4 linked regions of the Saccharomyces cerevisiae S288C genome follow. Changing the gene in region 1 together with any one later gene gives a genetic interaction. Each region holds a gene or a part of one and is shown in the gene's direction. Other genes may lie near its edges. The genes, in order: RDL1, CRP1, EDC2 and MTG1.

What was found.
Region 2: mutations in RDL1 (region 1) and CRP1 together harm fitness more than expected from each alone (negative genetic interaction), as found in Saccharomyces cerevisiae (one large-scale study listed by BioGRID).
Region 3: mutations in RDL1 (region 1) and EDC2 together harm fitness more than expected from each alone (negative genetic interaction), as found in Saccharomyces cerevisiae (2 studies listed by BioGRID).
Region 4: mutations in RDL1 (region 1) and MTG1 together harm fitness more than expected from each alone (negative genetic interaction), as found in Saccharomyces cerevisiae (one large-scale study listed by BioGRID).

What each region holds. Positions count from the first base shown.
Region 1 is NC_001147.6:847,627-850,581, forward strand, and holds RDL1 (thiosulfate sulfurtransferase RDL1), read left to right. Parts: upstream 1-2,008; coding exon 2,009-2,428; downstream 2,429-2,955. Other genes in the region: YOR283W (phosphoglycerate mutase), read left to right, coding at 1-519; HUA2 (Hua2p), read left to right, coding at 852-1,583; thiosulfate sulfurtransferase RDL2, read left to right, coding at 2,654-2,955. UniProt on the Saccharomyces cerevisiae protein: Thiosulfate:glutathione sulfurtransferase (TST) required to produce S-sulfanylglutathione (GSS(-)), a central intermediate in hydrogen sulfide metabolism.
Region 2 is NC_001140.6:388,414-392,197, forward strand, and holds CRP1 (Crp1p), read left to right. Parts: upstream 1-1,886; coding exon 1,887-3,284; downstream 3,285-3,784. Other genes in the region: DCD1 (deoxycytidine monophosphate deaminase), read right to left, coding at 1-313.
Region 3 is NC_001137.3:220,574-223,586, forward strand, and holds EDC2 (Edc2p), read left to right. Parts: upstream 1-2,065; coding exon 2,066-2,503; downstream 2,504-3,013. Other genes in the region: ZRG8 (Zrg8p), read right to left, coding at 1-714; YER034W (uncharacterized protein), read left to right, coding at 1,273-1,830; ATP-binding cassette family ATPase ARB1, read right to left, coding at 2,794-3,013. UniProt on the Saccharomyces cerevisiae protein: mRNA-binding protein which stimulates mRNA decapping by DCP1 and DCP2.
Region 4 is NC_001145.3:458,873-462,314, reverse strand, and holds MTG1 (putative GTPase MTG1), read left to right. Parts: upstream 1-1,787; coding exon 1,788-2,891; downstream 2,892-3,442. Other genes in the region: ATP25 (Atp25p), read left to right, coding at 1-1,544; pyridoxine biosynthesis protein SNZ1, read right to left, coding at 3,014-3,442. UniProt on the Saccharomyces cerevisiae protein: Mitochondrial GTPase involved in assembly of the large ribosomal subunit. Plays a role in expression of the mitochondrial translational machinery.

The sequences.
Region 1 (2,955 bases):
CGTTCAAGAGGTATTCATTTTGATAAGGTTGTCAGTAGTGATTTAAAAAGGTGTAGGCAAACTACGGCTTTAGTTTTGAAACATTCAAAACAAGAAAATGTGCCTACTTCCTATACTTCGGGGTTAAGGGAGCGTTATATGGGTGTTATTGAAGGTATGCAGATTACTGAGGCTGAAAAGTATGCTGATAAACATGGTGAAGGCTCCTTTAGAAATTTTGGGGAAAAAAGTGACGATTTTGTTGCTAGGTTAACTGGATGTGTCGAAGAAGAAGTTGCTGAAGCATCTAATGAAGGTGTCAAGAATCTAGCCCTAGTTAGTCATGGAGGTGCTATCAGAATGATTTTACAATGGTTAAAGTATGAAAATCATCAAGCTCATAAGATCATTGTTTTCAACACCTCTGTCACTATAGTTGATTACGTCAAGGACTCCAAGCAGTTTATTGTGAGACGTGTCGGAAACACCCAACATCTTGGTGATGGCGAATTTGTCGTCAGTGACTTAAGATTACGTTAGACACTATATGGTTATTCACTGTTGGGTTTTTCTCATTTTGTATTAGAAATGCGGTTTAGGTAGTAATAGAAATTTCGCATGCGTGTATTTTATTTTAAAACATATAGTTCGTAAGGGTTTATCTAAATGCAGTAGATGTTCATAAATTATAGGGGTTTTATGTTTTTATATTATTGATATAGTTTTTCACATGAGATGAGAACGACGCGTTTATTTTAAAGGAAAGAAAACTGTGTCGTAATATGTAACAAGACTACATTGATACTCCATAGCAGAGAAATGGATATGTTCTGTCGGTGGTAAATTCAGGTGAATTGTATATCAGTGAAACTATGCAACAAACAAAATTTGGCAAGATGTATTTGGACCACGATTCGGTAGTTGAGTACTCAGAAGATGAAATTGTCGAAGCCGATCGTATTACATTGGGCTATAAAAAGAGATTGTCAATGATTGAAAATCAAATGCGACATCTTTTGGAGGATTTTAGTTTGGACGTTCAGCAGATTGAACCCATTCTTGCCGACTTGCAGAAGTACTACGACGCGTTTCTACAACTTTTACAGAAAAGGAACAAATCATTACAATGTAAGAGGTCCACTCACCAGCCGGTCCCATCCCCAATGAATAGCCAGACATCAACAAATGCAAAGGTTAATTTGAGCGGAAAGCTTATGAAGTTTCAGCTAAATAGTGTACAAAAGTTCGACGAAGAAAATATACTAAGGATTCTGCAAAATAAAATAGAATTCGAACATTATTTCCAAATTGATAAAGGTAAGAAGCAAAAGGTGCTATTACTTGCCGTATATCAATGCCTCAATGGGCCAACACGTTTGCATAAAGTGCTTAATATTGAGGGAATTATACATAATAATAGTATCAGAACTATACTGGGCAAACAAGTGTCCAGTTCTAAGTGGACAGTGTTTCTGTACGATGTAAAACTAGTTTTATTGGCGCATAGACAAGATGTTCCGAACTTAGAAACTAGCAAGATGATCGTCAGATATGGTGATTTATTTCCCTGTGCATTGTACTTCAAAGATCATACAGCATACTAAGCGCTTTCCAGGGACACCTTCTGTCGCAAAATATCAGAATTTTTCTTGATTAAACGCAGCATATTGAGTATATGAAATTAACGGGACACTGTGTGAAAAATTTGTAGTTGTACTTTTTTGTTATCCCCTTTGGTAGACATATGGACGAATTACTACTAAGATTGGCTTCCATAAGGCCCAAATCCAGATATCACCTACGGTATGTCCTTTTCCTACTTGCAATGACAAATAATTTGTTATTTATCTTGGAACCTATATAAGTTACATCTGATTGCTTTTGTATTTTTTTTGGAGAATATTATTACCCGCGGGGAAGGAAGTAAGGGGAGAATTTTTGAGGTGTATAAAAGAGAGTGGAGGCTTAATCAATCAAAGAATTCTTTCTCGTTTATTTTCAGGGTTTGTGACTAAGAAACGATATTAAAATGTGGAAGGCCGTGATGAATGCTTGGAATGGAACCGAGAGTCAAAGTAAGAATGTTTCAAATATTCAATCTTACAGTTTTGAAGACATGAAAAGAATCGTTGGAAAGCATGATCCTAATGTGGTTTTGGTAGATGTTAGAGAACCATCTGAGTACTCGATTGTTCATATTCCTGCTTCCATCAATGTGCCATATAGATCGCACCCTGACGCATTTGCCTTAGATCCTTTAGAATTTGAGAAACAGATTGGCATCCCAAAACCTGACAGTGCCAAGGAGCTAATATTTTATTGTGCTTCTGGCAAACGCGGGGGAGAAGCTCAAAAAGTCGCCTCCTCACATGGATATTCAAACACCTCACTATATCCTGGCTCTATGAATGATTGGGTTTCTCATGGGGGTGATAAACTTGACTTATAGCCTTGTATACTCTAGGTATGTACCCTGTGTATTTTCGTAAGCTAGTAACGTATTATGCCATTTATGTCACACCGTTCATAATATTTGCCTATTGCATTGGCTGTGATAGCGGCGGCGCAAAGAAATTAGGAAGTATAAAAAAAAAAATACAAAACTTAATCTGAATGGAATAAGATAGCGATAACTCTCAACAAATGGAAGCGAGACAGAAGAAAAAGACCAACGATGTTCAAGCATAGTACAGGTATTCTCTCGAGGACAGTTTCTGCAAGATCGCCTACATTGGTCCTGAGAACATTTACAACGAAGGCTCCAAAGATCTATACTTTTGACCAGGTCAGGAACCTAGTCGAACACCCCAATGATAAAAAACTATTGGTAGATGTAAGGGAACCCAAGGAAGTAAAGGATTACAAGATGCCAACTACAATAAATATTCCGGTGAATAGTGCCCCTGGCGCTCTTGGATTGCCCGAAAAGGAGTTTCACAAAGTTTTCCAATTTGCTAAACCACCTCACGATAAAGA
Region 2 (3,784 bases), on another chromosome or scaffold:
GATCAATGGCTTGTATTATTTGTTCTAATGATAAGCTTTCTGCTTGAGTCGTTTTCCTGTATAATGCTACCCTTGTAGTGACAGGAGCGTCGATAGAAAGATGAACAAAAAATGGTCTCTTTTCCAGTTTCTCCAGTAATGATAATTTTTCTAGGAATATAACTGAATTTTTTGTGTAATTTTTCGTAGCATAATCTAATATCTCCTCTGGATTATCTAGGTGATTGAGTAATTCAAAATGAAAATGATCAACCAACATGTTAATAACATCTTCGCATCCGCAAAATTTCGTACCACTTACACCAATTAACATAATCGTGTTATATTGATTAGTGTAGCATTCACACCTTTAATGTGCCAAAAAAAGATGTTGAATTCTATGGTAATGCAGAAGTTTCAATTCTCGAGATTGCCTACATCATCTCATAACTGCGTACCGCGCGTTCTTGCAAAGAACAAAAAAGTGAAAAAATTATAATGGGGCGAGCTGGGAATTGAACCCAGGGCCTCTCGCATGCTTTGTCTTCCTGTTTAGGCAGGAAGTCGCCCAAAGCGAGAATCATACCACTAGACCACACGCCCATGTATCTGTTGGTGTTCTAAATAAAGAATTAAACTATGTAGGCATAAAAAGAGACGGGAGCATCTTAAAGATGCAACTGGATGGAGAATGGCAAAATATGAAGAAGAAGGAAGGAAAAGAAATATTATTATGCGTAACTGTTGATTCCTTTTTGTGGATTTCTTGAGGAGAATGTCTTTTTGAAGAGTGGGTGAATTTTGAGATAATTGTTGGGATTCCATTTTTAATAAGGCAATAATATTAGGTATGTAGAATGTACTAGAAGTTCTCCTCGAGGATTTAGGAATCCATAAAAGGGAATCTGCAATTCTACACAATTCTATAAATATTATTATCATCATTTTATATGTTAATATTCATTGATCCTATTACATTATCAATCCTTGCGTTTCAGCTTCCACTAATTTAGATGACTATTTCTCATCATTTGCGTCATCTTCTAACACCGTATATGATAATATACTAGTAACGTAAATACTAGTTAGTAGATGATAGTTGATTTTTATTCCAACACTTTTATATATTCTGTATTTGATGTTATAGCTTTATCAATTACAGAATGCCAAAAATTATCAAATTATTCACCAATATCCCAAATTTTAATGCAACCGTTATGATCCGACTATTGATAAAGGAAATTCCTATTCTACATAATGTTACTGGTATTTCTTCTTCCGTTTTTTATGTCGTCATTCGTCATCCTATTGCATTATCAATCTTTGCGTTTCAGCTTCCATTAAATTATGAAGATTATTTTTCAATCTTAAAGTCATCTTCTTACACTGGATATAATAATATACTAGCAGTATGAATATTAGTCGATAGACGATAGTTGGTTCTATTTCGACGGGTAATATTCTACTAATACCAATGACACTATTAATTTACCTAACAGAAATTCTTCTTCAATTGACCCTAGCGTTTGCCTTATTATCAAGACACTGAAGGTAAAGTTGCCGATAAACTTTTTGGGTTCCACTGTGCACCTATTTCTATGCTTCAATAAGCAGTTCCAGGTAAGGTTTCACCATTTCAACCCAAGTAAATGCTATGTAGTTATAATATTAATTAATGTGTTCTACTGGTTTTTCTGTGCATAAAAAAGACGCTCTGACGCCATTTATCTTGGTGTGTTACCCGTTAGGAAAAGTGGCGTTGCTAAAATTGTTGAAACCCGATCTCATCGCCTGGTAAACAATACAAACAAGGATTTGAACAAGGTTTTATCATTTTCTGATACGTTTTTTGTACTTACAAAATAAAAGATACAAAAATCACTAAGAAAACTAATCTATCAATAAAAATGAGTAGTGAACTCATGTTCAACTATACTTTTAGCTGGCCTGCTGGTCCAAAAGATGTTATTTTAACAGGAACGTTTGATGACTGGAGGGGCACTTTACCCCTCGTGAAGACCGCCAAGGGAAATTTCGAAATTACTATGCCCGTGAAGCTAGCCAACAAGGATGATACGTTTCAGTTTAAGTTTATTGTGGATGGCGTTTGGTGCGTTAGTGATTCGTATAAAAAGGAGCATGTTAGTGAAGGAATCGAAAACAATTTCTTACAAATTACCGATTTAGTTGAAACGCAGGAAGTTGCCGGTGCCAGTAGAATCCCGGAGGCAGGTGGCCTATTATGTGGTAAACCGCCTCGTTCAGCAGGTCCTCCTTCTACAAGTAATAGAAAGAAAAACAAGCGTAACAATAAGAAAAGAAGATCTAAATTGAAGAAAAAGAGTACTAAGAACAACAAGAAGTCAAATGAAAGTTTAGACGATAATGAAGAAGAAGACGGGGTGACTGGAACTACTACTGAAGATGTTACTGGAACCTCTAGGGAAGAAACTCCATTGGCGGAGCCTACTAATGTTTCCAAAGAAGCTCCGGGCAATTTCCATATTCTGCCAATCGATCAAAGTGCAGACACAACTCAATCAAATGGTATAATTGGTGGACCAGGTCCTGTTCTTGTCCCAAACCCTGGTGAAATCAAGGAATTTACCGAAATTAGAGACGTTGATGCTAGGGAATTGAATGAAAGACTTAACAAAAAAGAAGAGGTTCCAGAACCCGTTGCTGGCCCTATTGTTGAATCATCAGTTACGGAAAAGAGTCCTGCTCTTCCACAAGCTGACGACCCGATTGTTGAGACCAAGGAAGTGGCTCATAATGTGCAGGAACTTACTCCTCAAGTGGAAGCGGTTACTCCGTTAATAAATGAGCCCGAACCATTACCAACTCCGGAAGCACAAATATCTATACCTGAGTCATCGAAAGTTGAACCAGTGGAGGGGTCTCTTCAATCTAAGTTGGTGGAGAAACGTGAGTCCACTGAAGGTGTATTAGACGGTTCCAAAAAAGTAGAAAATAAGGCAAAAAAAGATGAAGAGGTCTTTACATTAGACCCCATCGTTAACAAAGCTCCCAAGCTACCCTTGACTGACGAGCAAACAGCTGAAGGTAGAAAATCACCAGCAGTGTCAGAAGAAAAAGAAAAGAAAAAGAAGCAAGAAAAAGGCTCTAAAGAGGTCAAGAGGTCAGAAACCAGTAAAGAAAAAAAGCCTTCTGCCAAAGAGGTTAAGAAACAAACTGTAAAAGCCCCAAAGAAACAGACAGCTTCTCCTTTGTCTTCTTCGACAGAAGAGCCCAAGAAGAAGAAAACTGGTTTCTTCGGCAAATTGAAGAAGCTATTTAAGTGAATTATCTAAGGATTGGTCTCATGTTGCCGAATCATAGAAATATAAGAAAAAAATTAAAAAAAAAAAGAAAGAAAGTATAATACTAATATTGGCAATAATGCTAACACATTACTAATAATAGCAATAATATTAATAATAATAATAATAATAATAAATTATAATAATAGCAGTAATAAAAATATCAAATAATAATAATAGTAATAGTAGTAGTAGTAGTAGCAGTTGTAGTAATGATAATAATAATATAATAATAATATAATAATAGTATAATAATAGTATAAGTAGTTGTAGGTAAAAATCTTTGATTTATCTTATCTGGTTGCAATGCTTCTCCCCTCTGATGCCTAATATGTCTATCTTTATCCTATACCAATTGGCAGGGGAGCAATCATAATTTACATTAATATCGTCCACCATACCCTGAAATTCCAAAAGAGTTCGAGAAATTGGAAGGTACAGCATTTCATTTACTCACTTATTTGATCTTTTCTTTTGTTTTC
Region 3 (3,013 bases), on another chromosome or scaffold:
TTTACCCTTGTTCTTGTTCAATATTCTTATGGCAGGTTCCAGGTTAGATGGTGATGTAGTTGAAGTTAGATTTTCATTGCCAATGATAGGGGTTTTGAATTGTTTAGAAGAAGTCGCTTCAGATGTGTTTGATGCTGGGGAAGCAGGATCGTTTAATATTATTACGTGCGATTCGACCTTGGAATCTCCCCACGAATGAGTAATTGTGCCCTTAATAGCAGGCAGAGAGTCTGTGGTTCTATTAAAATCTTTTGCAGGAGAAGTTTTTTTATATGCAGTATATTCACTTTCATTGTCATGACGTGAAAAGGAAGAGGTAGAAGAGGAAGGAAAGAGCGGCGGTGGTAATGGCGGCGGAGGTCCAGTATTTTTTGTGGGTGGATTTTGGAGAACAAATGAATTTGAAGTAGTCTGATTTGTGCTTGTGGTTGGAGTTGAAGCTAAATGCGAGTTTAAGTTTGAGTTTGAAGTTTTCTTGAACAACTTTGAAGTCTTGTTAGCCAAACGATGGAAAGACTCAAATCCAGGTGAGTGTTTCGCGGGTGGTGGAATGCTATCGTAATTCATTTGTGATGGTGTAGATGGTAGAAAGTCTAAGGAGTCATCACTTGACCTTTGAGAACTATTATTAGTATTGCCACTGAAGTTGCTATGTCGCTTGGGGCTTTCATCAAACGACGTGGACTTCTTATGGGCTTTTATGAAAGACCGCATGATGAAATATTCCAGTTATGCGTGTGCGTCTTGTGATGCAGATCCTTTTGGGCAAAAACAGTTGGTTTGTGCGAAAACGCAAGGTAATAAATAGGCTTAAAGGAACTAAAAAAAAAAAAAGGAAAATAACCAGCTAAGATTTAAGGTACAAGAAAGCGGTTGCACCTCAAGTAATGATAGTTATTAAACCTTGGATTGGACCAGATGTTTAAAATTGTTTTCAATAGTAGATTTGCAGTCGTAAATGCGTTCTCAGCAATATCATATTGTGTTTATGAAGTATTACCAAACGGGTAGAAGAACGGTTTAAGAGAATATGTCCGGATAAAGCGATCAGGAGAAAAGCTTAAAACCCAAAGTGGTCAATCTGCAGCCCATTTAGGCACTCTGCATTTAACCGATACCCGGATTGAAGAAAGCTGGCGGGTGTATGGGTGAAGGAGAAGAAAGGAAGTGATTAGGAGAAACCTCATGGAGATGAGCACATGCTACAACTAATAACGTTATTCTACTTAAAACGAGCAAAACAAAAAAAAAAACAAGACAATTGAAAACGCAATGGATGCATTCAGCTTAAAGAAGGATAATCGAAAAAAATTTCAAGATAAACAGAAATTGAAAAGAAAACATGCCACACCCAGTGATAGAAAGTACCGGCTATTGAACCGCCAAAAAGAAGAGAAAGCTACCACAGAGGAGAAAGATCAAGACCAAGAACAGCCCGCCCTGAAGTCAAACGAGGACAGGTACTATGAGGACCCGGTACTCGAGGACCCGCATTCTGCAGTCGCCAATGCAGAGTTGAACAAGGTGCTAAAAGACGTCCTCAAAAATCGGCTCCAGCAGAACGACGACGCCACAGCCGTCAATAATGTTGCTAATAAAGATACTTTGAAAATCAAAGACCTCAAGCAGATGAATACGGATGAGCTCAATCGTTGGCTCGGACGGCAGAATACAACATCGGCTATAACAGCGGCTGAGCCCGAATCATTAGTCGTTCCCATTCACGTACAAGGTGATCATGATCGTGCGGGCAAGAAGATCAGTGCCCCTTCGACCGATCTACCGGAAGAACTAGAGACCGATCAGGATTTCCTTGATGGACTGCTCTAATCGCGCGGTACGACAGTTACTGCGTGAAAAGATTATCAGCGCCCCTTTTTTTCTTCTTTGTTCTTAACGTTTCTTTTTCTTGCGGCTTATGCCCGTACTTATAAAACAACGGCCTCCCGTGCCCTATTACCTTCCTGATAGACCGGACAATAACGTCACTACATACAAAGTTATACACTAACAGAAACTCAAACACAAACGTTTTTATAATAGTCAAAATTAAATATCTCTCATAATGGGTTCCGAGACAAAACATTCTGCAAAAGTCAAGATTGTCACAAGGGAAAGTCCTCCTTCCGCCAAGGAGCACATGCGCCCCACTAAAACTCAAATATTAGTTCCACCGACGCAGAGTTTGCCCAATGGCAAGAAACCAAACTTCGGTAAGTCTACAAAACAGCGGCGAGAACCTAGGGAACGCACCTCGAAGACGGGACACGAGGACGATAAGGCAACGATGGTCACTGTTAACATAGATGCCTTCCTACATGATAAGGCCCCTAAAAAAAAATCGTGCAAATACAAGAAGAAGAAAACGAGACAGTACCAGGATAGGGCGGCGGCGTCGATCGATTCGAAACCGCACGTAGCTGGTCATACGGCCTTTGCCGGTGCTTCGTTCACAACAGATATCCCACATGAGGCAGCGCTACCCAAACCTAGTTTTGTTTGAGTAGCTGTGATTGTAAATTTTTTTATTTCTACTTGAGCGGGCGGGCTCTCATTTTTTTTTTTGGGGTTTTATTTAGGTCGGATTATTCATAAAGATGGCATTTATATACATTTTTACGCAATTACCCTCATATTCTTACACATACGGAGAAGTCATTGTTATATCTTCTTGCCTTCACATTGTTATCGGTGATTTTCTTTCTTTATTGATTGATTAGTTATATAAATTATTGCTATTAAAATACATAAAAGGGGAAGTAAAAACGTGCACGGCGCAGATCAACTTCACAATTACAAAACAACGTTCTTGGCCAATTTGTTCTTATATTGCAAAATGGATCCGTCCCATCTGGTAGCGGTCTTGTTTTCCACAACGAAAATATCTTGGGCAATTTTGTCTAATAATCTGAAATCATGCGAAACGACGACGACACCACCGTTAAATTCGTTGATGGCGTCGGCCAAGGAGTCGATGGTTGGGATATCCAAACCATTGGTAGGTTCATCTAAT
Region 4 (3,442 bases), on another chromosome or scaffold:
CCTCTCCAAACTCATTAAGAAAAATAGCAGACCTCCTAACTGGTAAACTTGGTCTGGATGACTTCCTGGTTTTCGATTTACGGAAGAAAAGCCCAAACTCTGTTTCAGCCGTTAATAAGTTGGGTGACTTCATGGTCATATGTACAGCAAGATCTACCAAACATTGTCATAAAAGTTTCTTAGAGTTGAACAAGTTTTTGAAGCACGAATTCTGTAGTAGTGCATACGTTGAAGGAAACTTTAATGAGCGACAAGAAAGTAGAAGAAAAAGAAGATTAGCAAGAAAATCCAACCTTAGTAAACTATTAGGTAGAAGCTCTGAATGCTCTGCAAAAGACTTAAATAGTGAGGCTTGGTATATGATTGATTGTCGTGTCGATGGTATTTTTGTAAATATTTTGACACAGAGAAGGCGTAATGAATTGAATTTAGAAGAGCTGTATGCACCTGAAAATGAGAAATCTAAGTTCCAAAATATAGATTCAGGTAATGTCCCTACTATTTCAGGGGTAAATGAAATTTCAAGCAACAATAATATTCTTTTAGGCCTAAGAAGACTGGCCCAGCAAAGGAGAAGGTATTCAACTATCAACCCAAACGGGCTAAGTAATTTAAGATACTTTCTACAAAAGGAAGACTTCAAAGGAGCCAATAAGATAATTCAGAGTAGTAGTGGTACTGAAACTCACAATATACGTACTTTGGAGCATGTTAAAAATACTTTAAAGGATTTGGTAGGACAAGAGAGGAAAGTAGATGTTGTTCAATGGAAGTCCTTATTTGACGAACATTCAACTTTTTTAACCATAAATCAATCGGCTGCATATTGGCCACTACGACTAGAATATGCGATACTTCTAAACAAAGCAGACCCACAATTTTATTCAGATCGTGTTTTCCTCAAGGATTATCTACTTTTAAAAAAATCGTTGGGGCAAGAGTTAATAAGGGAAGATCTAATCGCTCTTTTAGAAATGGTTTTGAAAACGCAGCATTCTAGTCATTCATACTTTAACCTAGTAAAGCAAAATAGGGTGATTATCAGAGCTTTGAACCTATTTAAAGGTCTACAAACAGAGGACGATGGCTCAGTTGTTTACGATGAAGTGGTAATATCCCTTCTTTTAAATTCCATGGTCGCGGATGAACGGGTAAAATTGAGATCACTCTACGAGACAATAGACCACATTTTCCAAACATTTGGAGATAAGTTGACTTCAGGCATGATTGTCTCAATATTGCAAAACTTGGCCAAAATCAAAGACTGGAATAAGCTACTTCAAGTCTGGGAAGCTATCACACCAACGGAAGGGGAAGGTCAGGACAAAAGGCCCTGGAATGAATTTATAAATGTTATCAATCAAAGCGGTGATAGTCACGTTATATCGAAAATCGTAAATAATGGTCATTTGCTATGGATCAGACGTTTAAATGTTAACGTAACTCCGGAGTTATGCAACTCCATTAAAGCGTTATTAAAAACCGCTGGAATGGAGAATTCCACATTGGAAGAATTCCTAGTCCGTGGAACAAACAATCAATAGTATTACCTGTATATAATATCTTAATCTCTCGTCGTTCGCCTTATTTATATTTGAATCAAATATTTAATTCTGCCACATGGTAGGTTCATTTTGCCGCAGATCAAAGAACACGGACCATCATGTCAAAAGTACACAATTTTTGTCTTTTCGAAACAATTTGGTTTAGTTATTAGGAGAAGAAAGAACGAATGATAATGCTCATTACTCAGACCTGAATGCAAAAAAGCCAAATCAAATACAGAAATGCACATAAATGTGAGAGGAACTAGGAAAATAATTTCCAACGTTTCATCCTTCACACCAAGATATGAATTTCCAAAGTACAGTATGCCTCTCACTGATTTCAAGGGACACCAAGTCAAAGCTCTTAAAACATTTGAAAAGTTGCTTCCTCAAATGAATATGATAATAGAACTACGTGATATACGTGCCCCGTTATCTACAAGGAATGTGGTTTTCGATCGAATAGCAAGAAAGGAACACGATGTGATGAAATTAGTGGTATACACTAGAAAGGATCTTATGCCCGGCAATAAGCCATATATAGGAAAGTTAAAGAATTGGCATGAAGAGCTGGGAGAAAAGTTTATTTTACTGGATTGCCGAAACAAAACTGACGTCAGGAATCTACTAAAAATACTAGAATGGCAAAATTACGAACTAGAAACAAATGGCGGATATCTACCTATGGGATACCGAGCATTGATTACTGGCATGCCAAATGTTGGAAAATCTACTTTAATAAATAGCTTGAGGACAATTTTTCACAATCAAGTGAATATGGGAAGAAAATTTAAGAAAGTAGCCAAAACTGGTGCAGAAGCTGGTGTTACTAGAGCCACAAGCGAGGTTATTAGAGTAACTTCACGGAATACGGAATCAAGAAATGAAATATACTTGATAGATACTCCAGGAATCGGTGTTCCCGGTCGCGTTTCAGATCATAATAGAATGCTAGGACTGGCGTTGTGTGGTAGTGTTAAAAATAACCTTGTAGATCCAATATTTCAAGCGGATTACCTTTTATACCTAATGAACTTGCAAAATTTGAACGATGGAAGAACAGAGCTTTACCCTGGAAGCACCAATTCTCCCACAAATGATATATATGATGTTTTAAGAAGGCTTCAAGTGAATAAAAGCCAAAATGAAAAATCAACGGCTATCGAGTGGACTAACAAATGGAGGTTGCATGGAAAGGGTATCATATTTGACCCTGAGGTACTGTTGAATAATGACGAGTTTTCTTATAAAAACTATGTAAATGATCAATTGGAAAAGTTAGGAGATCTTTCGTATGAGGGATTGTCTAACAAACTAAAAGGGAACCCCAATCAAGTATTCTAGTAAATAATATCCAGCATACATAAGCTTATCTAATAATTAGATCATTTTACAATGTGTACCGAGTAATACAAAGTTGAGGGGGGAAAAAGTGTTATAATGCTCAAAATACCTGTTCAAAGAAATCACCACCCAATTTCGGAAAGTCTTACTCCATTGGAAGCATGACTAATAGATTCGATTGATACACCACCCATTAACTCTCCTAAGTCACTAGATACTTCCAACAATTTGCTGGGATTGTCAAAGTGAGTGGTAGCCTCTACTACTGCAGTGGCCAACCTTACAGGATTAGATGATTTAAAAATTCCTGAGCCAACAAACACACCATCACAACCCAACTGCATTAACAATGCGGCATCGGCTGGCGTTGCTACACCACCTGCAGCAAAATTTACTACTGGCAACTTACCTTTTTCTAAAACATCTTTCAGCAAAGAAACTGGTACCCTCATTTCCTCAGCAACTTTTGCAATGTCATCTTCGCTCTTCAATTGTTGGCACGCCTTTATCTCCTCTGTAATTCTCCTTATATGCTTGACGGCTTCAGAGAC